Macaca mulatta: one gene and its partners. The protein of the gene in region 3 interacts with the protein of the main gene of each other region in a biochemical or structural test. Links are inferred from orthologs where the notes say so. Each region holds a gene or a part of one and is shown on either strand. Other genes may lie near its edges. The genes, in order: LGALS1, LGALS3 and LGALS3BP.

Evidence for each region.
Region 1: the proteins of LGALS3BP (region 3) and LGALS1 form a complex in vitro, tested with the Homo sapiens proteins (2 studies listed by BioGRID). The link is inferred for Macaca mulatta from reciprocal best matches to the Homo sapiens genes LGALS3BP and LGALS1.
Region 2: the proteins of LGALS3BP (region 3) and LGALS3 form a complex in vitro, tested with the Homo sapiens proteins (4 studies listed by BioGRID). The link is inferred for Macaca mulatta from reciprocal best matches to the Homo sapiens genes LGALS3BP and LGALS3.

Annotation. Positions count from the first base shown.
Region 1 is NC_133415.1:13,847,355-13,858,452, forward strand, and holds LGALS1 (galectin-1), read right to left. Parts: upstream 7,148-11,098; 5' UTR 7,088-7,147; coding exon 7,079-7,087; intron 5,807-7,078; coding exon 5,727-5,806; intron 4,319-5,726; coding exon 4,147-4,318; exon of another isoform or gene 3,826-4,146; intron 3,600-3,825; coding exon 3,453-3,599; 3' UTR 3,425-3,452; downstream 1-3,424. UniProt on the Homo sapiens protein: Lectin that binds beta-galactoside and a wide array of complex carbohydrates. Plays a role in regulating apoptosis, cell proliferation and cell differentiation. Inhibits CD45 protein phosphatase activity and therefore the dephosphorylation of Lyn kinase.
Region 2 is NC_133412.1:128,275,913-128,286,146, reverse strand, and holds the end of LGALS3 (galectin-3), read right to left. Parts: intron 9,503-10,234; coding exon 9,414-9,502; intron 7,204-9,413; coding exon 7,038-7,203; intron 4,755-7,037; coding exon 4,599-4,754; 3' UTR 4,542-4,598; downstream 1-4,541. Other genes in the region: DLGAP5 (disks large-associated protein 5), read left to right, coding at 1,367-1,486. UniProt on the Homo sapiens protein: Galactose-specific lectin which binds IgE. May mediate with the alpha-3, beta-1 integrin the stimulation by CSPG4 of endothelial cells migration.
Region 3 is NC_133421.1:88,654,199-88,664,144, forward strand, and holds the end of LGALS3BP (galectin-3-binding protein), read right to left. Parts: intron 7,748-9,946; 5' UTR 7,722-7,747; coding exon 7,670-7,721; intron 6,715-7,669; coding exon 6,465-6,714; intron 5,619-6,464; coding exon 5,383-5,618; intron 3,915-5,382; coding exon 3,662-3,914; intron 3,400-3,661; coding exon 2,274-3,399; 3' UTR 1,963-2,273; downstream 1-1,962.

The DNA of each region.
Region 1 (11,098 bases), on a different chromosome or scaffold from region 3:
GGACCCAGTTTCCTAGGCCCTCGGGACACACAGAACTTTAAAAGGGGTGAAGACAGCCGACACTCACCAAACTCGTATTGCATGCCAGGCACCATGCATTTCTATACATCACCTCAGCTAATCTTTTTTCTTTTTTTTTTTTTAGAGAGTCTCGCTCTGTCGCCCAGGCTGGAATGCAGTGGCGTGATCTCGGTTCACTGCAACCTCCTCTTCCCAGGATCAAGTGATTTTCCTGCCTCAGCCTCCCCGGTAGCTGGGACCACAGGCATGCACCACCATGCCCGGCTAATTTTTGTATTTTTAGTAAACACAGGGTTTCACTTGTTGGCCAGGCTGGTCTCGAACGCCTGACCTCAAATGAACCTCCTGCCTTGGCCTCCCAAAGTGCTGGGATTACAGGTGTCGGCCACCGCACCCAGTCAACACTAGTGCAGTCTTTTTCTTTTTTTTTTTTTGAGACGGAGTCTCGCTCTGTCACCCAGGCTGGAGTGCAATGGCACAATATCAGCTCACCGCAACCTCTGCCTCCTGGGCTCAAGCAATTCTCCTGCCTCAGCCTCCCAAGTAGCTAGGATTTACAGGCATGTACCACCATGCCTGGCTAATTTTTTGTATTTTTGGTGGAGACGGGGTTTCTCCATGTTGGTCAGGCTGGTCTTGAACTTCCGACCTCAGGTGATTCACACACCTCGGCCTCCCAAAGTGCTGGGATTACAGACGTGAGCCACTGTGCCTGGCCTAATTTTTGTATTTTTAGTAGAGACGGGGTTTTGTCATGTTGCCCAGGCTGGTCTCAAACTCCTGATCTCAGGTCATCCACCCACCTCGGCCTCCCAAAGTGTTGGGATTACAGGCGTGAGCCACCACACCTGTTTTTTTTTCTTTTTCTTTTTCTTTTTTCTTTTTTTGAGACGGAGTCTTGCTCTGTGGCCTGAGAGCAGTGGCACGATCTCGGCTCACTGCAACCTCCACTTCCCGGGTTCAAGTGATTCTCCTGCCTCAACCTCCTGAATAGCTGGGACTACAGGCGCCCCCCACCACGCCCAGCTAATTTTTGTATTTTTTAGTAGAGATGGGGTTTTGCCATATTAGCCAGGCTGGTCTCGAACTCCTGACCTTGTGATCCACCCACCTCAGCCTCCCAAAGTGCTGGTGTGAGCCAGCATGCCTGGCCAACTAGTGCAGTCTTAACAAAGTTTGCCAGATGAGGAAACTGAGGTTCAGAGACGTTGAATAACTGGTTCAAGGGCACACAGCCACAGAGCTGGGGTTTAAACACAGGTCTGTCTGACGCCAAGCTGGGTTTCCTTCCTCCACACCCAGTGGCCTCTCTTACCTGTCCCAGGACTTTCCTCTGCCCAGTTGTGGCCCCAGTCCTAGTGTCTTGTGAGTGTCAGCCAGTGTAGGGGAGAATCAGTGTGGGTGAACTGAGGACCAGGCAGGGCAGCCTAGGGGACGTGTTCTCCAATGTCCAGCAGAGGGCGCTCCATCTGCAGCCAGGCTTCCGAAGCTGTTTCTGGGTGGCCACCTGGGAGCCCCAGGAGAGCCTGGAGATTGGGTGTGGCTCGTGGGAGTTCTCAGCCTGTGTGTTCCATCCTCTTTGACCTCTCATAGAGAGGTGCGTGTCCCCAGCTCCCACCTAGGTCCCAGGGTACCCACTGAGATGGGAATCATCCACCCAAGATGGGTCTCATTTTATGGATGAGGAAACTGAGGCTGGGTGTATAAGAGACCTAGTCACAGCTGGTGCCAGTTGCCCTAGAAAGGGAGATTTGCCAAGCTCCCCACCCCCCAACCCACACACCATGCCTCAGGAGACTGTGCCTTGGGGCTATGGGGGAGCCCAGTAATGATTCTAACCTTCTGTACCTTGGCTCAGTTCCTGCAGCTGTTTCCCAGGGAGGTAGGGGCCCTGGGAAGATGTGACTGCAGCAGCAGGCAGGAAGGAAAAGGTGCAGGGAAGTGTTCAGTGTGCAGGGCACCCCAGCTGTCCACTCAGGCCCCATCAGTTGTGATGGGTGGGTGCATGGGATTGGGTTAAGCATTACCCTCCAAGGTAACAGCCTGGGCTGGTCTTAGAGGAGACATCATCTTTGGAAACCAGGAGAACAGGTTCATGGAGACCTCATCTCAGGTTGGGTGAGTCACCCCTACTCTGTCCCCTGAGGAGGAGGCTGCGGGAGTCTGGAGGCTGGGCCTCATATTGGCTGGCTTTTACCTCTTGGTTCTCTGCAGGGGCTGATGGAGCCCCCAACCCCAGCTCCTCCTACCACAGAAACAGGGGCTGGCAATGGGGTGCCAGGGTCATCACCTACTTTCCCATTGTTGGGGTGGGGGCATCTGCCCAGGAATGAGAGCCGGCAGCTTCCAGACTAGTCCTTTGGTTGCCCATACACTCTAGCTAAGTGGGGTGCATGGCCCAAGCCCACAGACAGGATCCCTGGGGAGCTCCACAGGCTCAGCTGGGCCTGGTACAGACCTGGGAGTCATTTCATCTATCAGAGCCCATTTCTTCACCTTCAGATTGGAGTAATAGCACTTCAAAAGTGGTGCAGGGAGCTGGGTGCAGTGACGCACACCTGTGGTCCCAGCTATTCAGAAGGCTGAGGCAGGATTGCCTGACCCCAGGACTTTGAGGCTGCAGTATGCAACCACTGCACTCCAGCCTGGTTAACATAGCAAGACCCCATCTCTTAAAAAAAAAAAAAAAAAAGGCTGTGCACGAGGTATGGGAAACCACCAACCACTGAGTATTTGCCATATGCAGGTGTTGAACTTGGCTTCTTTCATGCAACACCTCATTTAATCTCCACTTGATCTCAGCCAGAAGGCCAAGAAGCGACTGATCTTTGGAACAACTCTTTGATAGGCTGTTTGCATTATCCCCCTTGTTATAAAGGAATAAGCTGAGGCTCACAGAGGTCAGTTAACATGCACAAGGCCACACAGCTGGCACCCCATGTTGTCTTGACTCCACATCTCTACCTCATGAAGGCAAATGAGGGGTCTCGTATTCTTCCCTCCACCTCTCTGTCTTCTGTCCCGTCACCACACATGAAGTGGTCTGTCCTTGCCTGTTTCCCCCTTGATGTCATTTACACAACATCCTTTGAGCATCTGCTGTGTTCTAGGGCCCACTAGGCTAAAAGCAGTTTCAGGGCAGGGACTGATTTTTATTCAGTGGTCACTGACCCTCCTACTGTGTGTCAGACTCTCTGTGCTTGCTCTGGGGGACCCAGCGGAAGACATCATTGGAACTGAGGAGGTACCCGTGGACAAAGCAAATGGAAGTGAAGGAAGGGGGCAGGCCTGGAGGTGGGGGACCCCTCTCTCTCTCTCTCTCACACACACACACACATGCGTGCGCACACACAAACACATACACACACATGAGGCTGGTTCAGAGGGGGCAGAAGCAGCTGCCTTTATTGGGGGCCATGGGCTGACTGATTTCAGTCAAAGGCCACACACTTGATCTTGAAGTCACCGTCAGCTGCCATGTAGTTGATGGCCTCCAGGTTGAGGCGGTTGGGGAACTTGAATTCGTATCCATCTGGCAGCTTGATGGTCAGGTCGGCCTGGTCAAAGGTGATGCACACCTGGGGGTACAGGAGAGCAGTGAGCCAGGCCCACAGGCCATGGGCCCTTCCAGAACCCGTTCCTCATGTGGCCCTGACACAGCCCCAGTTTGTGGCTGAGCCTACGGAGGTGCATTTATAATATTTTTTCTTTCTTTCTACTCTAATCCTATGACAGATTTTTTTTTTTTTTTTTTTTTGAGACGGAGTCTCCTCTGTCACCCAGGCTGGAGTGCAGTGGCGCCACCACGCCTGGCTAATTTTTGTATTTTTCTCCATGTTGGTCAGGCTCATCTCGAACTCCCGACCTCAGGTGATCCGCCCGCCTAGGCCTTCCAAAGTGCTGGGATTATAGGCATTAGCCACCGAGCCCAGGCTTTTTTTTCTTTTGTTTTATTCTAATTAACCACTGAGGTTCCAAGAGGGGCAGACACTGGTCATCACACAGGAAGGGAGGGAAGAGGAGGAGAAAGAGAGCAGGCAAGGCCAAGATCTCTAGTCACTAACCCAGCTCCGCCCCAGCCCACCCAGCCCCTGTCCCTAGTCCCGGTTCCGGTCCGCAGCCCACCTCTGCGACACTTCCAGGCTGGAAAGGAAAGGCAGCCTCCCGCTGCTCGGTCCCCCAGGCCCCACCGTCCTTGCTGTTGCACACGATGGTGTTGGCGTCGCCGTGGGCGTTGAAGCGAGGGTTGAAGTGCAGGCACAGGTTGTTGCTATCTTTGCCCAGGTTCAGCACGAAGCTGGGGGGTAATGGGTGGGTGTGAGGCCACCTCGGCCAGCTCCAGCCCCACCGACTGACTAATCTGTCACTCAGTACTCCACGAACACACTTTGCTTGAAGAACTCACTAACAGAGACAAGAAACCTGGATTCTAGCTCTGGCCCTGACAGCTGCTTACGGTGTGAACGTGAGCTAGTCCCTGCCCCTCCTTGCCTGTTTGCTCATCTGTACAATGGGGGCTGCACAGGAGGACTTGCTAGATTCTTGAAGTCACTAGCGTCCTAGCCCTTTTGGTCAAGGTCAGAGACTTCCTCCAGATGGCAACTTCACGTCCTGTCTTGTACATCTGTGTTCCTGGTGCCCAGCACAAGTGGGGCACACCAGAAGGAGATGCTTAGTAATTATGGGGTGAATTAACAAATAATAATACTCCTGGGCACGGTGGCTCACTCCTGTAACCCCAGCACTTTGGGAGGCCGAGGTGGGCAGATCATGAGGTCAGGGGTTCGAGACCAGCCTGGCCAACATGGTGAACCCCCATCTCTACTAAAAGTACAAAAAGTAGCTGGGCGTGGTGGTAGGCACCTGTAGTCCCAGCTACTCGGGAGGCTGAGGCAGGAGAATCGTTTGAACCCAGGAGATGGAGGTTGTGGTGAGCCGAGATCAAGCCATTGCACTCCAGCCTGGAGGACAGGGTGAGACTCCGTCTCAAAAAATAAAATAATAAATGCATTTGTTTAGTGGTGATAATAGCTATACCTGCCTCTGAGGGTTTGGTTGCAATGAAATTAGTGCATGAGAAGTGTACGGCTCTTAACAATATCAGCTCTTAACAATATCAGCCGATCCTCACCCTCCTCATCATCACTACACCATCGGCATCTCACTTCCTCCACACAACCACCTCCCCCCCCTTGTTTTTCTAACAAAATGAGGCTAGGTGAGGTTGGTTGACTGGTCCAAGGTCACATAGCTGCTGAGAAAATAAGGCAGCCGGCTGAGTGAACGAGGAGTGAAGGAAGAAGGACAGGACTGAGCCAGTGAATGAATGACCTGACGCAGGAGGGAGGGACTCAGAGGGAAGGCGGCGGTGACTCCCGCCTCACTCTTCTCCCCGCCCTCCCCAGATGCAGGCCCCGCCCAGACCGGAAAGGGGTGGGGGCGGGGGAACCAAGGTATTATAGATGACGAGGCTGCAGCTGTTGTAGTTTAAGAGGCTACAGCAGGGAGGGAGCGGGGGAGGGGGCGGCAATGGTGGGGGCGCCCAGACCCCGCGGGGGAAGTGAGTCACCCAGAAAGCGCAGCAACGTCGGCCGGCCGTTAACCCACTCTCGGCCAGGGAGGAGACGTGGACTTGGCCGGCCACGCCCTCTCGGCTGGACCAAGCCCCCATCCCTGCCGCCCACCACCCTGACTTCACCTCTCACCTCTTGGCGTCGGGGGCCACCTCGCCCCGCACTCGGAGGCACTCTCCAGGTTTGAGATTCAGGTTGCTGGCGACCAGACCCTGCACAGACAAGCCCCGGCCCAGCAGGTTAGAGGACAAGGCCTCCACTACCCGAAGTGTCCGGGGGTGGCTGGGGGTGGGAGTGGGGTTGTTCCCGCCCGGCATCCTCTGACCAAGCCAAGGGGAAGCCTGGGGACAGGATGGGGCTGTGATTTCTAGCCTCTGATTCTCTGTGTGGTCCTGGAAAAGTCCCTATTCCCAACAGGGTTGGCTTCAATCTGTAATGTGAATCAGGTTCTAGAAGACAGGCTCTAGAAGATTTTGCAGATTGGCCTGGGGATTTTGAACTCAAGAGTGGCTTGGGAGGTGGGGTGCTCTGTCCCATCGCAGATAGAGAGGATCAGGCTGGGGAGGGGCAGGCAGTTGGCCCACAGTCACACTGAATGCAGGGGTCGACCCCTCTGCTGGAGAGGAAGTGGCTAGGGGGACACTACTATTCTCCTTCAAGCTCCTCTCTGCGAAGAGGCCCAGGGGCTAGAGAGGAGACCCTGAAGAACACGGCCCCTCTGCATTAGGGAGTGGCCTGCAGTCGGGCTGTGGCCAGGCTGGTTCAGGGTTAACAAGATTGAGAAAACTGCTGCGCACTGCTGCTCCCTGGCACCCCGAGTGGGTGGGCAAGAGTTAACTGATTTGAGTGGTTTCTTCTGTCAGAAACTTGAACCCTTTCCCTGGGGCCCGAGGAAGATTCTCACCTCCCTGCCACCCCAACCTCCCAGCTTGGGGGTGGTGGAAGGGAATTTCCCCGGCTCCCCTCCCTCCCACCAGCCTGGACACAACCACCCTCCACCCCCGACCTAGAAAGGCCCATCCTGGGCAGCCTGTCTCGGGTCCTGGCGACTTTTCAGCGTATTCTGGAGCAGAGGGTGACTCTGCCCGGGCCTGGTGACTGGGACAGCTGCAGGGGGGAGGGGACGGGAGGCTTTTTGGGGTGGAGGAGGGGGAAAGATATAGTGGCCTGGGTGTCCCCCAGTTGGCCACACCCTTCCCACGCTCACTACTCAGAGAGCTGCAGAATGTCAACCCTGGGCAGAAATAACTGTGCTTTCAGACCCTGGAGGAATCCAAACAATTATCAATGCAGAGAAGGCCTTGAGGGACCATGGCGCCCACCCCAATTTTACAGATGTGGCTACTGAGGTCTAGAAAAGAGAAGGCAGTGGTTCCAGGCCACACAGCTGGGGCTAGAACCCTGCTCCCGATCTGCCCAGCTCTCCTCCGGCCATCAGCTCCTGCCCTATCCCCTGGACCTTGGGGTGGGGTCCCCACACTCACACAAGCCATGATTGAGGCCAGGAGGATGTTGCCAGGAGAGGCGCACCAGCTGTTAGAAGACTCCACCCGAGAGAGATGGGCCCCCGGACGCTCCCACCCTTTTAACGGGACCGGACCGGGTGAGCCCCGCCCCCTGGAAGTTCAGCCAATTGCAAGTCAGGACAGGGCTGGGGGCCACCGAGGGCGGAGTCCGTGGAATTTTGAAGCCAGTTCTGGAGCAGAGGTGACCAATCAGAGTGGCCATCTGCCGCCCCCCCACGAGGGTCCAAGCTCCACCTCCTATTCTTCATCCCTCTCCACCTCCCCCTGCCCCGCCACCACCGAAATTGTGCTGTGGCAGAGATTGGGGGAAGCCAATGGAAAATAGTTTGATGATGAGCTAGGCCCACGAGTTGGCGGGAAGGGGCCTGTGGCCAGCAGGCTGAGCTCAGGGGGTGCCCAGAGAAGATGGCTGAGGAGGTGCAGGGTCCTTCAAGGAATCAGAGCTGGGAGAGACCAGGCCACTCCAGGGCAGGGACCAGGGCGTGGCTCCTGCGTGCGCGTCTGCAGAGGGCCACCGACTTAAACCACAGGCCCTGGCGCCACCCGGGCCTTCCCCGGAAGCAAGGACTGCGGCTGCTGCAGCGCTTGCTCGCTCCTAGCTAAGGCTAAGGAAAGGCTGGGCTGCACGCCAAGCCTTAGGTTGCAGGGCTTGGCTAAGTCCTCGGGCTTGGCCCCCTTCAGGGGCATGCAGGGGATAGTCAAAGCGCCCTGGCCTGACAGCCTCTGGCCTGAGTGTCAAGCTGGGGAGATGGCCCAGGGTGGTCCAGGCCAGGAGGGGGTGGGGTCCTAGCTCTGTGCACCTGTCAGGCCTCTGAGCCCAAGCCAAACCATCGCATCCCCTGTGACTTGCACGTATGCCCAGATGGCCTGAAGTAACTGAAGAATCACAAAAGAAGTGCAAATGCCCTGCCTTGCAGTAACTGATGACATTCTACCACAAAAGAAGTGAAAATGGCCAGCCCTTGCCTTAAGCAATTATATTATCTTGTGAAGTTCCTTTTCCTGGCTCATCCTGGCTCAAAAAGCTCCCCCACTGAGCACCTTGTGACCCCCACTCCTGCCTGCCAGAGAACAACACCCCTTTTACTGTAATTTTCCTTTACCTACCCAAATCCTATAAAACGGTCCCGCCCTTATCTCCCTTCGCTGACTCTTTTCGGACTCAGCCCGCCTGCACCCAGGTGAAATAAACAGCCATGTTGCTCACACAAAGCCTGTTTGGTGGTCTCTTTACATGGATGTGCATGACAGCACCCTGTCCTCTCTCTTTTTTATTTTTATCTATTTATTTTTGAGATGGAGTGTCACTCTGTCGCCCAGGCTGGAGTGCAGTGGCATGACCTCGGCTTACTGCAACCTCTGCCTCCCAGGTTCTCCTGCCTCAGCCTCTTGAGTAGATGGGACTACAGGCCCCCACCACCATGCCCGGCCAATTTTTGTATTTTTAGTAAAGACGGGGTTTCACCTTGTTGGCCAGGCTAGTTTGGAACTCCTGACCTCAGGTGATCCACCTGCCTCGGCCTCCCAAAGTTCTGGGATTACAGGTGTGAGCCATCATGCCTGGCCACCCTGTCCTCTTTCTTCACATCTCTCCTCTGAGGCCTGGCACAGCCCTCCTTTCCCCGAGTGTTCAGCAGGTGTTTACTGAGCACCTACTATGTGCCTGGCCCTGGGCTCTCAGGATTCAAAGATGAACCCCTCCCAGTCCCCACTCTCAAGGAGCGCATGGTTGGGGTGGAATCTTACCACAACCACGTTGAGAAGTAGATGATGGGCTGGGTGCAGTGGCTCATGCCTGTAATCCCAGCTCTTTAGGAGACCGAGGCGGGCAGATTACCTGAGGTTGGGAGTTTGAGACTAGCCTGACCAACACGGAGAAACCCCGTCTCTACTAAAAATACAAAATTAGCCGGGCGTGGTGGCATATGCCTGTAATCCCAGCTACTTCTGAGGCTGAGGCAGGAGAATCACTTGAACCCAGGAGGCAGAGGTGCAGTGATCCAAGATCAGGCCATTGCATTCCAACCTGGGCAACAAGAGCAAAACTCGGTCTCAAAAAAAAAAAAAAAAAAAGAAGAAGAAGAAGTAGATGATGATGGCTCTAAGGGAAGCCATGAGAAAGTGCTATGGTGGGCTGGTGGCTGCATGAGTAAAGGAGGTGGGTCGTGAAGGGTAGGCGGAGAAGCGCCTGGCTTTCCGGCATGGGCAGAAGCTCCGGAATGGGAAGGCCAGGGCTGGGGAACAGTGTTCCGGGCATGTAGGGGAAAGACGGGGATGAGGCTGGGAAGCCATCAGGACCTGGATCATGGAGGCCTCATGGGCTGGGCACAGGGCTTGGACATTATTGTACGGGAGGAGGCTGGGGAGCCAGGGTTAGTACTGAGGCCAGATCTGGGCTGTAGGGAAGATCACTGTGGCAGAGAATTGAGGGTGGGTTGGAGGGGTCTCAGGAACCTGGTGGAGGAAGGGGTGTGGGGAGCACTGGGAGAAGTGAGGGGCATGCTGGGGGGTTGTCACAGGGATGACCTCCTCCACCTGGCCATCCTCCTTCTGAAACTGCTGGCACCAAAGAGGGACGAAGATGCCAACCGGGAGTGACTCACATCTGGAGGCCAGGCCAGCAAACCCACCCTGCCCGACCCTGTCCCCCAGGGGCACCTTCCTCCAGATGCCCAAAGCCCACTCTGGTACAGGATGAGAGGGGAGTGTGTACGGTCACAAGGCGGACCCAGAGAGGGGATGGGGTTGCATCCCCGTGAGTGCCTTACCCCTCCTTCCAGACCAAGTGGCTGCTTGGAAACCAACCACAGCAGCTTCACTTTTTCCTCCTGGCCTCCCCAAAACCTCAACCATAGGAAGGGCTGGGTATGGCCCAGCCCAGCTCCACTGCCCCTCTCCCATGCCTCCCCTCTCTGCCAGATCAAGGAATGGGGCCTCTCAGGCAGAGTCCTAGATGGAGGGCCAGAGGCGCTTCAGGTGTGGTCCTGGCAGGGCTGTGGGCAGGTGGGTGTGGCCACTTTCCCAGCCCAGCCCAGTAGTTGGGTTCCTGTGGCCTCAGGAGCTGCTCCTGCTTCCTCCTCCACCCTGGAAAATGGGCCCAGCACTGGGGAGTGTTTGCTGTTGGATGGAGGGACAGTTTACCCCTCTGCAGCATCCGGCATGAGTGGGGCTGGCAGGGAGGCAAGGTGGCATGGTGAAGAGGTCCCCAGACCCCAGAAAGGCCTATTTGGGAGTCTGGACACACAGGTGCTGGCCCTGCTTGCTATGTCCCCTCAGAGCCTCCTGGTAAACTGTTTCTGCCACTTGCCTCAGTCTCCCTATCTGTAAACTGGGGAGATGAAATCCTGCTTTCCTTGCATGAGGTGAATACAGGGTGGAACTGAGGTCTGTTGTACTAAAACAGATGATTCGTTTCTTCATGGAGGCTCAGAAGGTTTTCACTTCCTTCTTGTCGCTTTTGCCAGGCTGTTGCCTTCCCCGAGTCTTTGCAGCGCCTCTGGGAGGTCTACGTGCCATCCCCAATTGGTCCCCAACAGTCTCCTCTTGCCTAGGTTGGGGCAGGAAGTCTCTCCAGATTCCAGTGTCCCCTGGGACGGGAGCTGTGGTTTTCCTGGCGGGGAGGGAAGGCAGGGACACAGGTGCATCGTGGGCCTCCTCCCCCAAGTCCTCAGGGCCTCTTGGTGGCAGCGCCCACTTATCTTGCCAGGCCTTGTGCCCGGCGCCTTGCTTTCATTATCTCCTCTCTCATCTTCCCCTCACCCCTACTTTGTGTCTGCCAACTTGGTTGAATTTCTGCACAGGGAAATGAGGCTGCAGTTAGAATCAGGAGAAGAGGCCTGGCATGGTGGCTCATGCCTGTAATCCCAGCACTTTGGGAGGTTGAGGATCACTTGGGGACAGGAGTTCGAGACCAGCCTGGCTAACATGGCAAAACCCCATCTCTACTAAAAATACAAGAATTAGCTGAGTGTGGTGGTG
Region 2 (10,234 bases), on a different chromosome or scaffold from region 3:
TAGTAGAGATGCGGGGTTTCACCATGTTGGCCAGGCTTGTCTTAAACTCCTGACCTCAGGTGAGCCACCGTGCCTGGCCGATATTTTTATTTCAAAGATCTGGAGTAGGGATTTGTCATTTTTTTCTTCATCAGTGATTCTTATGGTTTACACCTCTGGTTTACAGCCTTACCTTGGAATTTTCCAGGACTAACTACTACAGTAGATCAGAAAATGGCCTTGGTTTTATTCTTCTTTAATCTCAGAATGTAAGAAATTCATTCATAAAGCAAATATAGGATCAAACAACCACAGTTTTTGTTAACTTCATGAAACCTGGCAAATACTTAGCTTCCATAAGCCATGAATTCCTTAAAGACCCTTGTGTATCTTGGCTTTCATTGTTTTTCAAAGCTGCCTTTTTTGTGGTCAGGCCCTGGGCTGTCCTGTGTCTCAGGAGCAGAATAAAATGTGTTACTGTGACCCGCATACCATTCTTTCTTGGTTTTAGCCTTCTTTAATCATACACTGAGACCTAGAGGATCAGGGCTTTTAGAATAAGGCCAACTTATGTAAACCTGATTTAACCCTGTTCCCAGATCAAACTCTGAATGATTGATTCTGAGAATATATGTTGTTATAAGTAAATCCAGAGATTACCAAATCATAATATTTTAATATATTAGTAATGTGATTAAAAGTACATCACAATTATGTTTTCTCATTGATAGATCTTAGTACCTTATCATTTAGTCTGATTTTTTTCACTTCTGTAAATATTAATATTTAGATGTCTATTTTAGACCCAAATTATTGCTTGCCCCAGTAGCATAATTTGAACTTGAAGCAGGGCTTGAGGGAGTAAAAAGATCTCAGCAGGATCACACAGTAGTAAAAGGGCTATTAAGTGCTATTATATGGTTTAGGATTTATGGAATCTGTGTAAGTGGCTTAAGATATGGCCTCAGTTTTATTCATTCTGCATACACTGGTTGAGTCCATTTACATATTATTCACATTTTTATACATATATTCTGAATATACCTTTCCAATTTAAAAATAACTAATATACATTTGAAATAAGATCTGCTGGAAAGTAGCATAATCATTGTTGTTTATAATTTTATTGTTATATAGGGAAAATATTTACATGTTTCTTTTTGTTTGTTTTTGAGATGGGATCTTGCTATGTTGCTCGGGCTGGTCTTGAAGTCCTGGGTTCAAGTGATCCTACCACCTCAGCCTCCCGAGTAGCTGGGACTACAGGTGTGCACCACCGCACCCGGTTTATTTATGTTATTTATTAATTTACTATAGCAATGTTGAAGAATTACTTGGTGAAACTCGTGATGGATACTTTACTGACTTCTCTGGATTTGTTCTCCAGCCAGGTCTACAGTGCAGTAATCCATTTACTCAGCTGGAGAGGAGACATCAAGAGCATGCCAGACACATTTCTTTTGGTGGTAACTTGATTACTTTTTCACCTCTACAAGGAGAATTTTGAATTTAAAAATAAATCCATTTTCCTTCACATTATCAATGCTTATATATTCTTTAGACTATTGAAATTTTGGAGAAAATGTATTTGTGTTCACTTCTATAGTATCATATAATGTTTTAATACTCTGTTTATCAAAGTGTATTTTAGATATACTCTTTCTCAAGGGAAGTGGGGATATTTTGTACATTTTCAACACAGAATAAAAAATATACTGTGCCTTGCCTCTCTTGTTTGAAAGGAATAAGCTTAAGGCTAAGTATACTTAGCGCTTATAAACATTCTTTAGTTTAATTGAAATATTAACCTGTGACAGAAGTATTTGCATCTTTTTACACTTTATTCTTAGTTTGAAATCCTAAATTTGTTGACATTGAACAGCTTTGGGTATTACATTTTTCCATAGTATTCTGAGTTTCTTTACATGAGCTTTCTGGATTCCGAAGTCAGTTTGACATGCTGCGGTTTCAAACAGTTCAATCATTAGAGGTACCCATTAAGTCCTTGCCTTTTTGTTTTCATTTTCCCATTGGCATGCCCAAGAGACATTGAGGAGATGCTTTTTACTTTTGAAAAAAATCGTGTCAATCATATAACATATCAGTCACATGAACATTTAAAAAACTGGTACAAAGAAACCCAAGATTTACAGTTAATACAAAGCAATATGCGACACAACAATATTTTGCTCTCAAAAATAAAGCAGATCAGAATAAGACAATGTCAGTAAATGTGATCTTTAATAAGATGTATCACTGAGTTGTTTAGAAAGCTTTCAGCTGTTCATGGCCCTGGGCCATTAGAAAACCCTAGTTTATGTATATTTCTTTTTCCTACATGGCTTGTTTGAATTACTCAAACAAGGAATGGACTCGAACTGGCTTAACAGTAAGGAAATTTATTATTTCACAAGTTATCAAAGTGATTCCAGGTACTTTATAATCAATAGCTCAGTGATCACATCAAGGTCCAACTTTCTGTTCCTAGTTCATTCTGTTATCCTTGATGTCGGCTTCTCCTCTACGGCTGGGTCTTTTTGGGGTCATAAGATGGCTGCTATTGGCAGTTAGAGTTATGTTCTTCCCTTTGGCCTGATTAGACCAACTAATGCCACATCCCCATCTGCAGATCAGTAAGCCAGCAGGGGATTGACTTAAATGAATCAGAATTCCCTGTTGAATCTGGGATCACACCTGAATAAAACCTTGGCTCTTAGGAAACAAGGAATAGATATTGGGTAGGCAACCATCAGTGTCCCCTACTAGATAACGTGCTTGGCTATTGGAGTCTAGAATTATGAGGTATTAGGAAAATTTTTAGAGACAAAATGAAAGAAAACTGTTTTGGACAGAGCAAGAGTTCTTAATGCAGTGTATTGTCAGAGGAAAAAAAAAGTTCTTTTCTACCAAAATAGAATGGGAATTGCTATTTATTGAGGACCTACTATTTGACAGTCCCTTTGCAAACAATATTTTACTTAATGTTACAGTAACTCTATAAGACCTGTGCATTTGATAGACAAAGGAACCAAGGCTCAGAGGATTTAAATAATTTTGTGTAAACCAAGTTCTCTCTTTTCTCCAAAGCTATGTTCTTCCATTTATTTAATAAGAGTAGAAGTCAAGACCCAAATGTTGGGGTAAGGAATTTTTTGGAATATGCTATGATATGCTGCCCACATCCCTCTTTAGCAATAGAGGACTTACTCCTTGAGGTGCAGGAAGTGCTGCTGGCAGCAGCCCTCAGCTAACATCCCTTGTGAGGACTGTGCTGTGTCAGCTGAAGAAAGCCATGTTATCTCAGGTCACATTCTTTCCCAGCTGTCCTATAGTCAGTGACTGATTAAAGTGGGGGTATAAAAAGGCCTGGCCCCCTTGCAGCTCTGAAGAATCCCAGCTTCAGAACTCCCATAGGGTAGGCTAAGTTATTGCTCAACTTCTCCCTCAACCCAATCATGTCTTTCCCATCCCCACATGTACTGATTGCAAGTACACTCCCTCACAAGCCTCTTGAGATCTAATCTCTCTGCTTCCTGGGAAACCCAACCTGTGACAATTACTAATTTAACAGATGTGAAAAGGTAGTATTGTATAAAATATTTTGGGCCTGGTGTGGTGGCTCACGCCTGTAATCCCAGCACTTTGGGAGGCCAAGGCAGGTGGATCATGATGTCAGGAGTTCAAGATCAGCCTGGCCAAAATGGTGAAACCCCGTCTCTACTAAAAATACAAAACTTAGCGGGGCATGGTGGCGGGCACCTGTAATCCCAGCTACTCAGGAGGCTGAGGCAGAGAATTGCTTGAACTCAGGAGGCGGAAGTTGCAGTGAGCTGAGATCACGCCACTACAGCCTGGGTGACAGCGAGACTCAATCTCAAAAAAAAAAAAAAAAAAAAAAAATTTGGTCTTCTATAAGATGAAGTGGTTTTGCCACATCCTAGTTTTGGAATTTTATTAATCTTTGGGCTTGCTGCTAATAAGGGTAGAAAGGCATGGGTAAGAATGTTGACGATGGGAACAATTAAATTTTGAAAGCTGACTATATAAGATACCTTTTTTCTCTGTAAGAGATTTCATAAAAACCAGGGAGATGTTCCTTTATTGATATCAAATTACTGATCTGAAAGCAGCAAACTATAGTTTAGAAGGAGAAATGAGATTAAAAAGCAGTCAAGAAATACACCAGAATCCTAACAATAATTGTCTATAGGTCATCTATAGGTAAACTTTTTCTTAATGCTATTCTCATTTCCTGAACATATTTCCTTAAGAAAATGACAGAATAATTTCCTTGGAACATCTCCTGATTTTAATGAAATTCTGGAAGAGAGAATCTTGAGGTAGTATTTACTTTCTTTCCTTAAGAAAAAGATTTTAACAAGTATAGGAAACCTTGAGGCCCCAATGCAGTATTAATATTGCTGCATATTTTTTCCATTGCACATTATCGAGAATAAACCACTCCAATTAAGTGACATATTGAGACAGGTAATTCACTATAATATTTATTAAGACTTACAAGAAGGATATTGATGAATGTAAAAATTTTCACTCACAGTGAACATAAAGCCTTTACACATGTAAGGTTTAGACTTTTTTTTTAGTCTGCCCCTTTCAGATTATATCATGGTGTATGAAGCGTTGGTGAGGTCTATGTCACCAGAAATTCCCAGTTGGCTGATTTCATTGAGCTGTTTAACCCGATGATTGTACTGCAACAAGTGAGCATCATTCACCGCAACCTTGAAGTGGTCAGATTCAACCAGTACTTGTATCTGAAATGGCATATACATAAACTATTACATGAGGTAATGCATATGTCAGCTGGATTTAGCCATTCCACAATATATACATGTTTCATGTACATGATAGAAACAATTTTTTGTCAACTGAAAGGAAAAAAAAGTCCATTAATTTCAAACCAGTCTGGCCTGAACTCAGGATGTCCAACATTTCATCCTTATCATTCGTGGGACCAGTTAAGATCCAGGGAAAGTAACTTTACAGCAAAAATTCCAAGTTATTCAGATTTTTTTTAAAAGCCACAAATTTATTACAAGGATATATAAGTGAAGCCATAAAGGTGAAGGCTAAGGATTTGCCTGCATAAAAACTTAAAAGAGCCTGGGTGTGGCGGCTCACGCCTGTAATCCCAACACTTTGGGAGGCAAAGGCACAGGCAGATCTCTTGAGCCCAGGAGTTTGAGAACAGCCCAGGCAACATGGTGAAATCCCATCTCTACAAAAATAAAAATAAAAAAATTAGCCAGGCGTGGGTGGCATACATCTGTGGTCTCGGCTACTAAGGAGGCTCAAGTGGGAGTATCGTTTGAGCCTGGGAGGTTGACAGGCTGCAGTGAGCTGTGATCTTTCCACTGTACTCCAGACTGAGTGGCAGTGTGAGACTCTGTCTCAAAACAACCAAAAGTTCTGGTATGGCCTAAAACACCTGAAAGAAAAACACAAAAGTAGGATTCTTTTGGCAAATGTTGTAAAGATTGGTGATAATCAGTTTTGGCAAGGGTAGGAGAAATCTACTCTTCCAATAGTGGATGTTCATTCCTACATCTTTTTGGAAGCAGCAATTTGATAATATCTAAATTGTAAACATACATATTTTAAAGCAAAGATTTCTAGAAGATTTGCTTCTAGGAAGAAAATATTTGTAAGGATAGTTATTACAGTATTTTAGTAAAACATTTCCAGGTTGGAGTGTTTCTATTCTGTAAATTTATATCAGTAGGGTACTAGTTAAATTATCACATCTAAAAATGAAATACTATTGGCCGGGCGTGGTGGCTCATGCCCGTAATTCCAGCACTTTGGGAAGCCGAGGTGGGTGGATCACGAGGTCAAGAGGTCAAGACCATCCTGGCCAACACGGTGAAACTCCATCGCTACTAAAAATACAAAAGTTAGCTGGGCATGGTAGCACACAACTATAATCCCAACTACTCGGGAGGCTGAGTCAGGAGAATCACTTGAACCCGAGAGGCAGAGGTTGCAGTGAGCTAAGATCATGCCACTGTACTCTAGCCTGGCGACAGCGAGACTCCATCTCAAAAAAAAAAAAAAATGCTATTAAGTAACAATATTCTGATATGAAAAGATGTCCACCAAATGTAGACTATGGTCCTTATTTGTCCCTGTTGTTGAAGAGTTTACAGTCCAGCTGTTTTATTTACCACTCTATAGTCAACCCTAACTCAATGCTGTGGACCTAATATTTGTTGAAGCAGTGCTTACAAATAAAAAGCGTGCTGTATGTCAGAAAACACTAGGAAGATACTCATCAAATTGCAATCTTTTGTGAGGATGGGGGAAGGAGTAAAGGAAAGGAAACCTTGTTAATTTTAAAATTTATAAACTTTTCATAAAACTTTAATTTTAGAATAAAAAACATGTAGTTTTGATCTCTATGCCAACTTTTTTTTTTTTTTTTTTTTTCGCTCTGTCACCCAGGCTGGAGTGCAGTGGCACAATCTGATCTCGGCTCACTGTAAGCTCCGCCTCCTGGGTTTGCACCATTCTCCTGACTCAGCCTCCCGAGTAGCTGGGACCACAGGTGCCCGCCACCACGCCCGGCTAATTTTTTGTATTTTCAGTAGAGACGGGATGTCACCGTGTTAGCCAGGATGGTCTCGATCTCCTGACCTTGTGATCCGCCCACCTCAGCCTCCCAAAGTGCTGGGATTATAGGCGTGAGCCACAGCGCCCAGCCCAACTGTGTTGTTTTAAGCAACAAAGTTGCAGTACAACTGTACCATAAAGACTTTTGCCTTTTTTGTTAAAGATTATATTATTTTCATCTCTAGAAAGGCTTAAACTCAGAAGGGTGGCAGCAGTGATGCTGGTGAGGTGCCTGAAAGAAGTGTGGAGTGTGCCACTCCTGGCCATGTTCTCAGCCTGCTGAGCCTGGTCCCCTGGGCAGGGAGAAGATACACTGGTTAGGCACCTTAGGACAGGTGATAAAAACTCATTTCAAGTGCTTTGTGGTTTTAGAGTGATTCCTCATGAGAAATGCACATTATCAATATATAATAGTAGCAATAACTTACTTTGAATGGTTTCCCACTTTCAAATGGGAAAACTGACTGTCTTTCTTCCCTTCCCCAGTTATTATCCAGCTTTGTATTGCAAACAATGACTCTCCTGTTGTTCTCATTGAAGCGTGGGTTAAAGTGGAAGGCAACATCATTCCTTCTCTTGAAATCTAAAGCAATTCTGTTTTAAACCAAAGACCAGTTATTAAAATGATTAAAACTGTATATCTACACGAAGTAAAGAATATAATTTTCTAAAAAGCAAATAATTTCATAATACAGTACCTAGGAAATTTTTCTGAACAGAAAGCAAATCAGAATGGGTTCAAACTGGAAAGTATCCTACACCTGATATTCTATGTACTATCATAAAATCTAAAGGTAAGCAAGACAATATATGTTGAATTTTTTTTGCCTCATTGTCTTCGATCATATTTCCATTCATCTGTAATGCCTCCTTTACAGACTCATGAAAACCCTTCGAGGTTTTCTTACAGAGGTTTAGAGCCACTCTGAGGATACTTTATCCCTTACTATAGATAATGTTTCCTGCTCTTCCAGTTTGCTTTCAATACCTGGTAAAGGCAAGCCAGCTATATAGTTAACAGCCATCAAATGCCTGGCTTCCTCGTAATTAACCAGAAGCCCTAGTTCCTCTAAAACAGCAAGGATGAGATAAGGTAGTTAATATTCAGTATCTTGTTGCTAAGTTGTAAAGTCATGATAGTAAATGTGGTAAACATTCTATGATGTGAGCTGGAACCAATGAAATTGCTAGTTTAGCTTTTTGACCCTGTTCCTTCTCCCTGGATGTTAATGCAAACACAAGTCCTCTTTGACTAACCCCATCCCTGAGTTTCTCAAAGTGTGCTCTATAGAGCAGTAACACCAGAATCATCAGTAGGTATTCTTATTTTAAAGCCAGGTCTGCACTCGAGACCAACTAACAAAGATTCTCTGTATTTTGATTCACCCAGTAAAAGTCACATTCAACCACAAATGATCTTCCAGTGATTAAACTTGTAAGGAAAAAACAGCAATAGAATTTGTATTTGACTAAATATACAATGTTGTCATCTCTGTCACCTTAAGTACTTTTTTTTTCTATGCAGTTCGTCATATAGAATTTGTAGGACTAAGCAACAGTTTTTTTAGTTTACTACCATTAACCATTTCAACCAGAATTAGTTTTGATCTGCCAGTCTCAATCTACATCTCTAGCATTAGAGCTAAACTTTCCAGTGAAATGACTCTAACAAGACAAGGATACCACACTGGGTATTCAGTGTGCATTAGGGGTTGTGGGAGGAGGAGAGCAGATATTTAATCATGAGTGCTGTGTGCACAGGATAAGGTGTGCTGGGTTCTATGTGATGTTGGGAGGAAATACGGATAAGGACATAGAGGATATATATATTTTGTAATTTGCTATGAGACGGGCATTATTGTATGGGGAAGTTCTGTGCTTACAGAAATTGTCTAGGCTGTGTGGAAAGATGGGTTGGCTTAGGATAGTGACTACCATTGCAGAAACAGGGGAGGCTGGCTGAGGTGGAGCGAATGAGCATTTCAATGTGAAATTATCAGATCAGAAGTGAAGTCCATCTCTTGATGGCAGGATGTGGAGCAAGGTGACAGACACTGAGACTGTTTATGGATTCTTGCATAAACCTGTGTACATGGCTTGAATCTGTACCATTTAGGTACTGTTCATAAGACCTAGAGATTCTTCCACTAACCTCAGGCGCAAGCATCCCGGATGGTTTCAGGACATGGCCAGCTTCTTTGTATAATATGTAAATACTACATAACCAGTGGTGACAACCAGGGCCAAGTGGCCCAGGACAGCCATAATTAGCATGTATTTTCCTAAATAAAGCCTCACCCCATCCTAGCCCACCTCATCAATCAAACCACTTCCAATAGCAAAGGTTGATTTATTATGATGAAGTTTTTAACTTGAAGAATCTCTTCAAACCCATAAGCAAATAGTATCTACTCAAAAGACGGGTTCCCAGGCCTACCACTGATCATCTGTAGAACCTGAGCCTCAGTTTTGTCTATAAAAAGGGGAAAGCAATATTCCTTATCCTGCCTTCAACCATGGAGATTAGCTGACATAATACATATCAAAGTATAGAATAAGGTGTGTTACCATTTACTATGAGTGCCCCGATGCTTAGCAAAATTATATGGGAATATGTACGGATTTATGGGATAATCCTATATGATGGTATAGCCAAGATTCTAAATATGTAGTTTTTAAAAATTTTATTAAAATTCAAAATAGCACCGTAAGACAGGGCAAGAAAAAAAAAATCAAAATAGGCCATTCTTTATTCAAAAACCAATCTACAAATAGGGTAGGCTTGTTAATTTTGCTCTCCTTACCTGTTTGCATTAGGCTTCACCGTGCCCAGAATTGTTATCAGCATGCGAGGCACCACTCCTCCAGGCAAAGGCAGGTTATAAGGCACAGACTGGGAATGAACAAGTACATATGGGAGTCATGTTTCTTTAGGGAAAGAAAACGATGTTGCTGAAGTTCCATTACTATTAATATGTGTGAAAAACACATAACTCTAGTATATGCCATCTGTCCAGACTCTCAGGCCACTTTGCCCAGGGGCCAAAGAGATAAGGCTCCTTACATGTACAAATAATTGAAAAGAAAGCCATCAGTAAGTCTCATTACTATGGCCATCCCAATCTACTCATTCATGTTGGCTATTTTTTGGAAAGGCTTAAGCTAGATCTTGTGATCAACATTAACATTTTTGTATCACTCTTAAGGCCCTGTCATGTCACTTGCTTCACTGTGGTTATTCTGCTTCCTGGGGGCAAGCAGCATATCACATACTGGGCTTGTGGGTTCTCATATGGTCTGTACTCACATGGCTCCAGCAGAGTGCTTTGCACGTGGCAGATACTCAATATTTATAGAATGAACACTGTTAAAACTGAGGTTCATTCCACAAATGTTTATTGACCATCTACATTCAAGGTACTGTGAATATCCCCAAAGCTCTATTTATTTATGGCCTCTTTTCTTTCCCTTTTTAAGGCTTCCCTCTGGGTTTAACTATCACCCCAGCCTTTTCATTTTTTGAGACAAGGTTTCAAAAATCCAGGTCTCTGTTGTTGAGGATGGAGTGCAGTGGTGTGATCATAGCTCACTGCAGCCCCGACCTCTTGGACTCAAGTGATCCTCC
Region 3 (9,946 bases):
CACATCTGTAGTCCCAGGTACTCTGTAGTCCCAGAGGCTGAGGCAGGAGAATTGCCTGGGCCCAGGAGGCAGAGTTTGCAGTGAGCCAAGATCGCATCACTGCACTCCAGCCTGGGCAATAGAGTAAGACCCTGCCTCAAAACAAACAAAAAACATGTGGAAGAGGAGGGGATGTCCTGCCAGGATGGTGGAGCTGGGTTGGACGCAGGATCTGGAGGTTGGGGGTGGGGAGAGCAGGGGTCTCCCTCCAGCACAGGGAGCAGCTGCCTTCGCAGGCAGGAGGTTTTGTGAGCCTGCTTTTGTTCCTTGCAGCACCCGTGGGGAGAGGGTGGGTGGGGGGTCTGCCGCCGTCTTAGCTGTTCAGCATCTGAACCTCCCTCCCATTAGGGGAGCCCTGTGCCACCTCCTATTCCAGAGGCCACACTCTTGTCCTCCCAGACCCTGGCACAGCAGCAGGTGCCAGCTTGAGCTTGGCCCAGCAGCTGCCTCCCTGGGGACTCTGTGCCTGCAACAGGCCATGGAGAAGCAGGGGCAGTTCCGAATTCCTGCTGGTGGTGAGCGACGTTCTGTGCCCAGAACCTGCTGTGGCATTGTCACGAATGCCCCCGCCTCTCCGGCATCCAGCGGGTCCTCCAGCCTCCCCTGAGACTCTGTGGTTCCCAGGATCTTCCAGCGCACCTCTCCGCGACCTCACTCAGCCCAGGGAGGTGTCTTTTATTTGTAGTCAAGCACCTGTTGGTGGGTATTGACATTGTTGCCAATTTTTCACTCTTACAAGGCTGAGATGAGAATCTCTGTCCCCTGTCCCCGTGGTCAAGGATTTCCAGAGCGAAGCTTCCTAACTCCTGCTGTTCATTCTCCCTCCTCCCAGCTTCCACAGTCTGCTGTCTGCTGCTCTCCACGACCCAGCCCGGTCACGTCTTCCAGAGACCCGATCGCCCCGCCAGAGGTGCAGCCCTGACCTTGCTGCCTCAGCATCCTTCCCTTCCCGTCGGACATGAGCAGGAGGTAGTGCTCACAAAAGCACACCCACCTATAGGCTGGGTGCGGTGGCTCACGCCTGGAATCCCAACACTTTGGGAGGCCGAGGTGGGTGGATCACCTGAGGTCAAGAGTTCAAGACCAGCCTGGCCCACATGGTGAAACCCCATCTCTACAAAAATACAAAAGTTACCCGGGCATGATGGCGGGTGCCTGTAGTCCCAGATGCTCAGGAGGCTGAGGCGGGAGAAGCGCTTGAAACCGGGAGGTGGAGGTTGCAGTGAGCCAAGATCGCACCACTACGCCCCAGCCTGGGCGACAGAACAAGATTCCGTCTTGGCCGGGCGTGGTGGCTCAAGCCTGTAATCCCAGCACTTTGGGAGGCCAAGATGGGCGGATCACGAGGTCAGGAGATCGAGACCATCCTGGCTAACACAGTGAAACCACGTCTCTACTAAAAAATACAAAAAACTAGCCGGGCGAGGTGGCGGGCGCCTGTAGTCCCAGCTACTCAGGAGGCTGAGGCAGGAGAATGGTGTAAACCCGGGAGGCAGAGCTTGCAGTGAGCTGAGATCCGGCCACTGCACTCCAGCCTGGGCGACAGAGCGAGACTCCGTCTCAAAAAAAAAAAAAAAAAAAAAGATTCCGTCTCAAAAATAAATAAATAAAATAAAATAAAGCACACCCATCCAGATAAGGGGTGAGGGCACCCGTCACAGCCAGACTTTCATGAACACACACACGCCTATGCCCACACAATCACACACCCACGTGCACGTGTGCAGTGACGCGCACCCTCCTGCTCGTGTCCCACTGTGTCATTGCTCCGGGCTGGGAGGTGTGCTTCCTGTTCCATCTTCCCCGCTAGCCAGTAGCTTCACAAGGACAGGGACTCTGCCTCATTCCCTGCCCCCCAGAGCCTGGCACACCTGATGTCTAAACACGGTATAGACCCAACAACACTTTCTGTACAAACAAATGTAGGAACCACAATGTCATTTTAATGACCTCAGACCAGTGACAAGGGCAGACTGACCAGGGGCTGTGGGGGGACCCCAGAGCGACCTCGAGGACGCCCTGGTGCTTACCACCTGGAACCTGGTGAGGCAGTGGGAGAACTCCTGGCGGACACGAGTGGAAGTCTTCTTGAAGCTGAGAGCTCAGGGGAGTAGGGGGACATCTGGTGGACGGTTGTTGATGGTGGTTGCAGAGAAGAAGGAAGCCAAGGAGGGGAGCCTGCAGTGAGGGCGTCCTGGGGTTCTCGGGTTCTTACCACCCTTGGGCCACGCCATCTAGTCCACACCCGAGGAATTGGTCAGGTAGAAGGGGCGGATGACCGTGCGGAAACTGTTGAAGTGCCCTGCTGGGCAGGGGAAGAAGGAGGTGCTCTTGGAGCTGTTGGTGTCCAGGGCACTGGGAATCGCAGCCTTCCGGCCCTCGAAATCGGTGGCGTCTGCCACAAAGAGCCCTTCGCAGAGCATCAGGGCTTTGTTTTCGTAGGCAATGCTGCGATCTGAGCCGCCAGACTTGGTGAGGCCCAGGATGGGGAGCTCGTCGGACGAGCAGGAGAAGCCGTAGTTCCAGCAGCTCTGAATGGTGGGGAGGTAGACCAGGGACCAGGACACCCTCTTGTCCTGGAAGAGGAAGCTGGGGTGTTGTGGGGTCTGGAAGGACTGGTAGGGGTAGTATCTGTAGTCAGAGGGGGCTTGGAAGTAATTAGAATATTTGACCAAAGGTCCCTGTCTGGACTGATAGACCAGCTGTGACTTCCGTGCACTCCAGGAACTGTCCGTCACAGAGGCGCTCCAGGTGGGCGAGGTGTAAATCCGGGGCTTGTAGGCATCTTCGGTGAGGTTCAGGCCTTTGTACCGGGCCAGCAACTGGAAGGGCACCGTGTGGAATTCCAGAGCCTGCAGAGTCTTCCTCTGGAACAGGGCCTTGTGGCTCCAGTACAGGGTCAGGTTGAACTGTAGCTCAAAGAGCTCCTCAGGGAGCATCATAGGGAAGCGGACCTTCTCCACCAAGCCCTCCACCTCCTCATGGGAGGCGCGCTCCCCCCAGCTCCAGGTGTCCACGGCCTTCAGTACGGCCAGCTCGCTGGGCACCACCAGGTCGCTCCTGGGCAGCAGCAGCTGGAGCACGTCTGTGGGGACACTGGGCCAGGCCTCGGCCTGTGTCAGGGCCTCGAAGTTCCAGGCCAGGAACTGCAGGCAGAGCTTCTCCAGCAGGGTGTCCCCTGTGGCTAGTGCATAGGCATACAGGTCCAGGGGCGTCTGGAACGAGGGGTCCTGGGGGAGGAGGATGGCAAAGAGGCTTGCACAGTAGCCCTGCAGCTGCTTGGCCCCATAGGCAGACGCCAGCTTGTGGAAGCACTTGACCGACGACAGGGCGATGTCGATCCTTCGGGAGTAGAAGTACCTGGGGAGAAAGAGGGAGAGTGGATGCCAGCCCCACAGGACAGCAGGGGAGCCCTGAGCCTGCCTGTCCAACACAGCCACCCGAGTGTGCACAGCGTGGGAGCGAGCATGCGTGTGTGTGCAACTGCGCGAGCGCACGTGTGACAACGGTACATGTGCATGCAAGAGTGTGTGCAGGTGTGCGTGTGTGTGGGTGTGCTTTTGAAGCAGGGAGGAGGACAAAGCCCCTGGCAGCCCCAGAGCCTGAGGACGAGACGGCTCACCTGAGAAAGTCCCTGACCATGGGCACACACTCGGCATCCACACTCATGGTGACATTGCTGCCTGGCTCCTTCCACAGGGCCTGGGCCTCCAGGTTGGCAGTCAGGATGATCGTGTGGCCACAGAAGCCCAGGGCGTCCTCGCCCTGCACACTCACACTGATGGACAGGTCGCAGCCCTGCTGGCTGTCAAAAATCTGGCCAAGGACTTCCGAGAGCTCCCTGGAGAGGTCCAGGGTGTGGGTGCTCCTGGTTTCTAAGAAGGGGCGGGAGGGAAGCAGGCTACGTTAGGAGCCGGGACGCTGCCACTCTCTGGGGGCAGCGTCTTCATCTGAAAGTGGGGGGTTCGTGGCTGCCTCATCCACTCTGGAAGGCTCCTGGGAAGATAAGGGACAGGAGAGACCGAAAGTGTCGGATCCCTGGGCCGTGAGGCCCCACCCCTTCCAGCCCTGGGGAACAAGAGCAGCTGGGACCTGGCCAAGCCTGTCCAGGCCCCCGCTTTAGGCCCTCTGCTCTGTGCTGCTCCCCCGATTCAGGCAGCAGCTCTGCAGGGAGACTTGGTGGTGCTGACTCTGGAGCCCCACTCCCCAGCCTCAGTCATCAACCACCAATGACACTGCCCTTCTCAAACCAAAACCACTGCCTGCTTAGATGGCCTGAAAAGTGAGGGTCCTGTGGCAACCCCATTTTAGAACTCTGGGGGTCCTCGAGCAGCCTCCTGTGGGGGACAAGACCTGCAGAAGTCATGGGAGGCTCCCGGGTCAGGGGTCAGTGTGGTATACCCTCCCCCCTTCTTTGAGCCCCTCTCAAAGCCTAACTCAAAACGAAATCCCATAGTTTTTTCTTTGTCACAAATATAATAGATTTGAAGTAACCATGACCTTTCAACCAGGTGGGCTTGCCCTGGGCCTCCTAAAACCTGAACCACTGCAGGACCCCCAGCTGCCTCCCACCTGCACGCCTCACCACAGCTCTCCTGCCCCAGGAGCTTTTGCCCGGCACCCACAGCCCCGCATGCTCCGCCTGGCCTCCCCCGGCCCCCGACAGCCCCATGGCATCTCGTGGGCTTCCCGCACTGTGAGTCCAGGCTTAGCTCCAGTCATTTGTCCATCCCATGTGGGCACAGGGGCTCCCTGGGATTCGACCCCTCCTGCCTTAGGGGCCTCCAGCTCCTGGCAAAGGGCGGTAGGCAGGAAGTGCCCAGGCTGTCCCGTGCAAGCCCAGGAAGAACCACCTTGGCACGGAAGAAACACAAGAAACTCAGATCCAGGGGCTCCAACCCATAGAGCAGCCTGGGTTCCCTCCACACCGGGCTGGGTTGGGGGAAGCTGGCTGGGGCGGCGAGTGGTCGGGCCTCCCTCCGCCAGGACGGGCTTGAGCCTGTCGCATGCTGTGAAGTGTGTTTCCGAGCGGGCGCTGGCACTTCAGGTCGGGCTGCAGCCAGGTGTCCTGCTCACTGAGACTGTGGCTCCCTGCCCCACACTCGGTTTCCGCATGGAGACTTGGTGGTTCTGGGCGTTTCTCCAGAAGGGGCTGGGGAGGAGTCCAGGACTGTGGGACTGGGAGCTGGTGGGCTCTTTGGACGTCCGGGACTCTCCATGCGGAGTGGGCAGGTGGTAGTGGAAGGAACCTTTGTGTGCTTCGTGTGTGGGGGGGTGGTGCCGGGAGGGGCAGGGGCCACGGGACCCCAGGGCACGCTGGGGCCTCCGCAGGGAAGTGCTCACCATTGGTGCAGACCACACCAGCGTCTCTCTCGTGCCTGCAGTTGCTCTTCAGCCAGCCCAGGGACTTGCAGTCAGCCAGCGAGGCCTCGGTTCCCATGCACTGGACCTCGTCCAGCATGATGGGGCCTGATCCTGTGGACACAGCAGATGGCAGGGCTGGGGGTGTGATGACTGCACCTAGGAGTCCCACAGCGAGACTCAGCCCTTTGTTCCGCGCCCCAGCCGTGCGGGTCCGTCTGCGTACAGGTCCTTCACCGGCGAACCACGGTGGATATTCCAGCAAGGGCTGGGTTTGTGATTGCAACGTCAGGCCATAAACTTAGCCTTCATGCTTACAAAGCTTACTGGCTCCTGCAGCAACATCACGTTCATGTACAGTAATTGCGTGCCTGTCCCTGCAACATCAGGCGCACATACTGTATTTGTGTGACTATCCCTGCTGCAAAATAGTTGGTGGATTGTTTCTCTTTTTTTTCCAGAATTGCAACTGCTGTGTTAGTGGAAATCTTCCTGCATACAGACTTTTCTTTTGAGGGGAAATTGTTTCAAGAGGATAAACTCCTGGAGTGGAGTTTCTGGGCCGGAGGGAACAAGCCCAGCCCAGCTCTTGAACCTGCCCAAGCACCTGCCACCGTCACCGGCCAAGTGTGGGTGACGCAGTCCCACCGGAACTTGATCCACAGGGCTTCAGCGCCATCAAAAGTGTTTGCTCTTAGGCCGGGTGTGGTCATCCCAGCACTTCGGGAGGCTGAGGCGGGCGGATCACTTGACACCAGAAGTTCAAGATCAACCTGGCCAACATGGTGAAACCCCTTCTCTACTAAAAAATACAAAAGTCAGCCGGGCATGGTGGCAAGTACCTGCAATCCCAGCTACTCAGAAGGCTGAGGCAGGAGAATCGCTTGAACTCAGGAGGCCGAGGTTGCAGTGAGCCGGGATCGTGCCACTACACTCCAGCCTGGGTGACAGAGCAAGACTCCGTTTAAAAAAAAAAATTGTTTGTTTGCTCTTGCTAAATTAATAGTAATCCAATTTGCATGTCTTTGAAACCTGACTGTCTCATCTTCGGGAATTTGCCCTGCCTGGGAGCTGGCTGTGCTGTGGGTCTCGGCTTTGGAGGACGGGGACAGCAGGCCCTACCTTGCCCGAAGGCAGCTCTGCCCAGAGCCTGGGTGGCGTTCTCAAAGCCCAGGGCCCGGCAGACGACGCTGGCATCAGTCAGGTCCCACAGGTTGTCACACACAGTGCCCCACTGGCCTCTGTAGAAGATCTCCACGCGGCCCTGGTTGGTGGCGCCCCCATCGGCCAGCCGCATGTCACCATCGTTCATGCCTGCAGGTAGAGACGAGCGAGGGCCAGGCTGGGGCCTGCGGCACCCACCGCCCGCACCTCCAGGACCCATGCTGTCCTGGGTCTCCCCTGCTGAGCTTCTTTTCCAGGGTTTCAAGGTCCCCTGGCCTCTCCATGAGGGAGGAGTGGAAGATACATACAGCCCCCTGCCCCACGGAGGCTAAACTCGCCTTTCCTTGTTTTAGGGGTCTCAGCCCTTCACTCCATAGACAGAACAGGGGCAGAGAAGCCCCAGGTTCTCAAGCACTGGGAATGGAGGTGGCAAGACCCCGGGGGAAGGATCGTGGGGGAATGGAGGCCCTGTGCTGACCCGCCCGAGGGTGTCTGCAGTTTGGGGGTGCTGGCCTGTGGGGGCGCAGGCCTAGGGACCCCTGGGAGCACAGGCGGAATGTTTCCAGGGCAGAGAATGGGATTCCCACTCCACACGTCCTTCTGGGACTCAGCCTGCCGACACTCCAGCCCCTATAGGAGCTGACAGAGCCGGGCAGGAGCTGGGTGCCTGAATCTAGCTGGGGGCACATCTGGCTTCCGTGGGGCCCCCAGGATGAGCGTGAGCCTCCAGGGGCTCACAGTGCAAAGGATGTGAGGAAAAGCAGCCAGGACCCTCTGGAAGATTGACCTGCGTCCGAGGCCGTTGACTTCACCACAGCCCCGGTGACTGCTGGTTTGACCAGCTCCTCTGGTTCCCTCTGGACAGAATGGAGGACTCCTTAGTGTCCTATCTATAACCTGCATCTCACCTGAGCCCAGGTGAGCCCCCTGGAACCTCCAAGCCACCATCACTTGGGATACCTGGTGCCGCAGGCAGGAGAGAAGACCTGGCTAACCGCTGGGCCCCGGGCCCCAGGCAGAGCATCTCCTTGAAGCTCTGCACAGACCCAGGCTGCAGCAGCCTCACAGACTTTTGCTTTTGGCATTTCCCAGGGGCTCAGCTCACCTTGGGTCCCTGCGACCAGCAACCACACCCAGAAGAGCCTCGGAGGGGCCATGGCGGTGCTTGGATGCCCAGATCCTGCTGCAGACAGAAGCGGCAGAGTGAGGCACGGGAGCCAGGTGGCCCGAAGCCCGGGGACCGGCCTGCCCATTAACCCTTCAGCCCGACCTGGGCTGTGTGGCAGGCGGGATCCCTCTCCTGCAGAGCCCACTGTGGTCCCAGTAAGTGTGATGGGTGCTATGGAAGCGCCCCACAGGGGCCCCTTCACCTGGTCTGCAGCATGCTCCTGGAAGGATGTGTAAGACTTGGCTAGATGAAGGGGTGGGCTGGGGGTACCCCCTGGCAGTTAAGGACAGCAAGAATCGGTGACTAGAGGCAAGTGAGCTCATCTCAAAAAACCAGGCCCCGGGCAAGGCCGCCACATGGGCATGGGCGGGGAGGGTGGAGAGGGAGGAGGCCATGGGCACAGGCCGAGGTCGGGAGGCCGGGTGAGCCTGGTTAAGATCTGGGCCTTAATCTTCAGGCAACAGACCCCCACAGGGACTGTCCCAGAGGCCTAAGCAGGCAAAGGCAGCCTGCAGAGTGGATGGGAGGGGACTCGTCAGGAGAGGCCACGGAGGCTGGGCCGGGGTGACAGATAAGCAGCAAGGAGACACATCGGGGCTCCATGGTGTTCGGATGGGGAAGATAGGGGAAAAGGGTCAGGGCTGCAGCCCAGGGTGGGCCATGCTGGGGGAAGAACGGGGAGGAAATGCTGAAGTATCCCCAAGACACTGACACTCAGGCTGCGGTTGGGGAGGTCCGGGTCTCCGCCTTCTGGCCTGGTGTTCTTGCCTCCGTGTAATTTCCACGCTTTTGTCTTCGCCTACCTCCCTCCCCCACACCCTGCCAATGGAGAGACAGGTATGGCTTCTCTGGCTCGGTAAGAATCCTGTGACACCTGACACTGTCCCCTCAGTTCAGCAAGCCAGGGGCAGGCCTCTGGGTGGCACTGCTGTGGGCACCGGCTGGGAGTCTGGGCCTGGTGACCTTGAGGCTGCTCAGAGGGGGCCTGGTGGACGGCTGCAATGGCATCGCCAGAGCTTGTTGGAAGTGCTGTCATGGCTGGCCTCGCCCTAGCCCCTCTGCATGGGAGTCTGCATGAACAAGCACCCTGGGAGCTGGGTGCCCTGGCTGGTGAGAGCTTTGCTCTGGGACTCACGCTCACTGGCACTGCGCAGCCACCCCTTATCAGGGCTCCCCAGGCACCACTGGAGGCCTTACCGTGACCTTGAGAACCACCTTAGTTACACCCCACCTTACAAGTGAAGAAGCTGACACCCAGAGAGGTAAATGGGCTCCACGTCCACAGCCATAGGCAGGGGGTCTGCTCGGTGGAGCCCACCTCTCCTCCCTGCGTCAATGTCAGTAGATGGCTAAAGACACCAGGGTGTGACTGCCTGTCCTGTGTGCTGGGGACTGTGCTTGTTTTAGCACTGAAGTTTCCCTGTGTCCTGGGAAACCCTCAGTCCCAGGCACGCCGGTATGGGTGGACGCCCTCTCCACTTCTGTCCCCAGCCACTTCACTCCGCTGCAGCCACCAGGTTTGTCCGTCCTGGGAGAGTAACTCAGGGCCTTGGAAAAATGGCCAAGTGGCCAGGCGCGATGGCTCACGCCTGTATCCTAGAACTTTGGGAGGCTGGGGCAGGTGTATCATTTGAGGTCAGGAGTTCGAGACCAGCCTGGCCAACATGGTGAAACCCCACCTCTACTAAAAATACAAAAGAAGAAGGAGAAGGAGAAGGAGAAGAAGGAGAAGAAGCTGGGCGTGGTGGTGCGCATCTGTAGTCCCAGCTACTCAGGAGGCTGAGGCAACAGAATTGCTTGAATCTGGCAGGCAGAGGTTGCAGTGAGCCATTGCACTACAGCCTGGGTGACAGAGCAAGACTCCGTCTCAAAAAAAAAAGCGGGCAACGAAGCACCTGGCAGGTGGCGTTCCGCCCTCTGGGTGGCAGCAGCTGGCGACTTTTGCCTGATTCCTTCATACGGGGAGTTGAGACCCGGCTGCCTGTGTTGGCCCCTTCATGCAAATCAGAAAAAAAGGTGCTCTTCCTAGGAGTGGGTGCAGGCCTAGGCCAAATGCACAGGCCCGAGAGAGGCCAACCTGGATTCTAACCCACTCGCCCTCTGGCTGGTATCCTCGTGCAGTGAGCCACCTGCCCAACTGCACACAGAGGTCCTGTGGGCCTGGGAGCAGCAATGACTGTTGCTGGGCTCAGGAGCCCTGGATCCCCAGCTCCA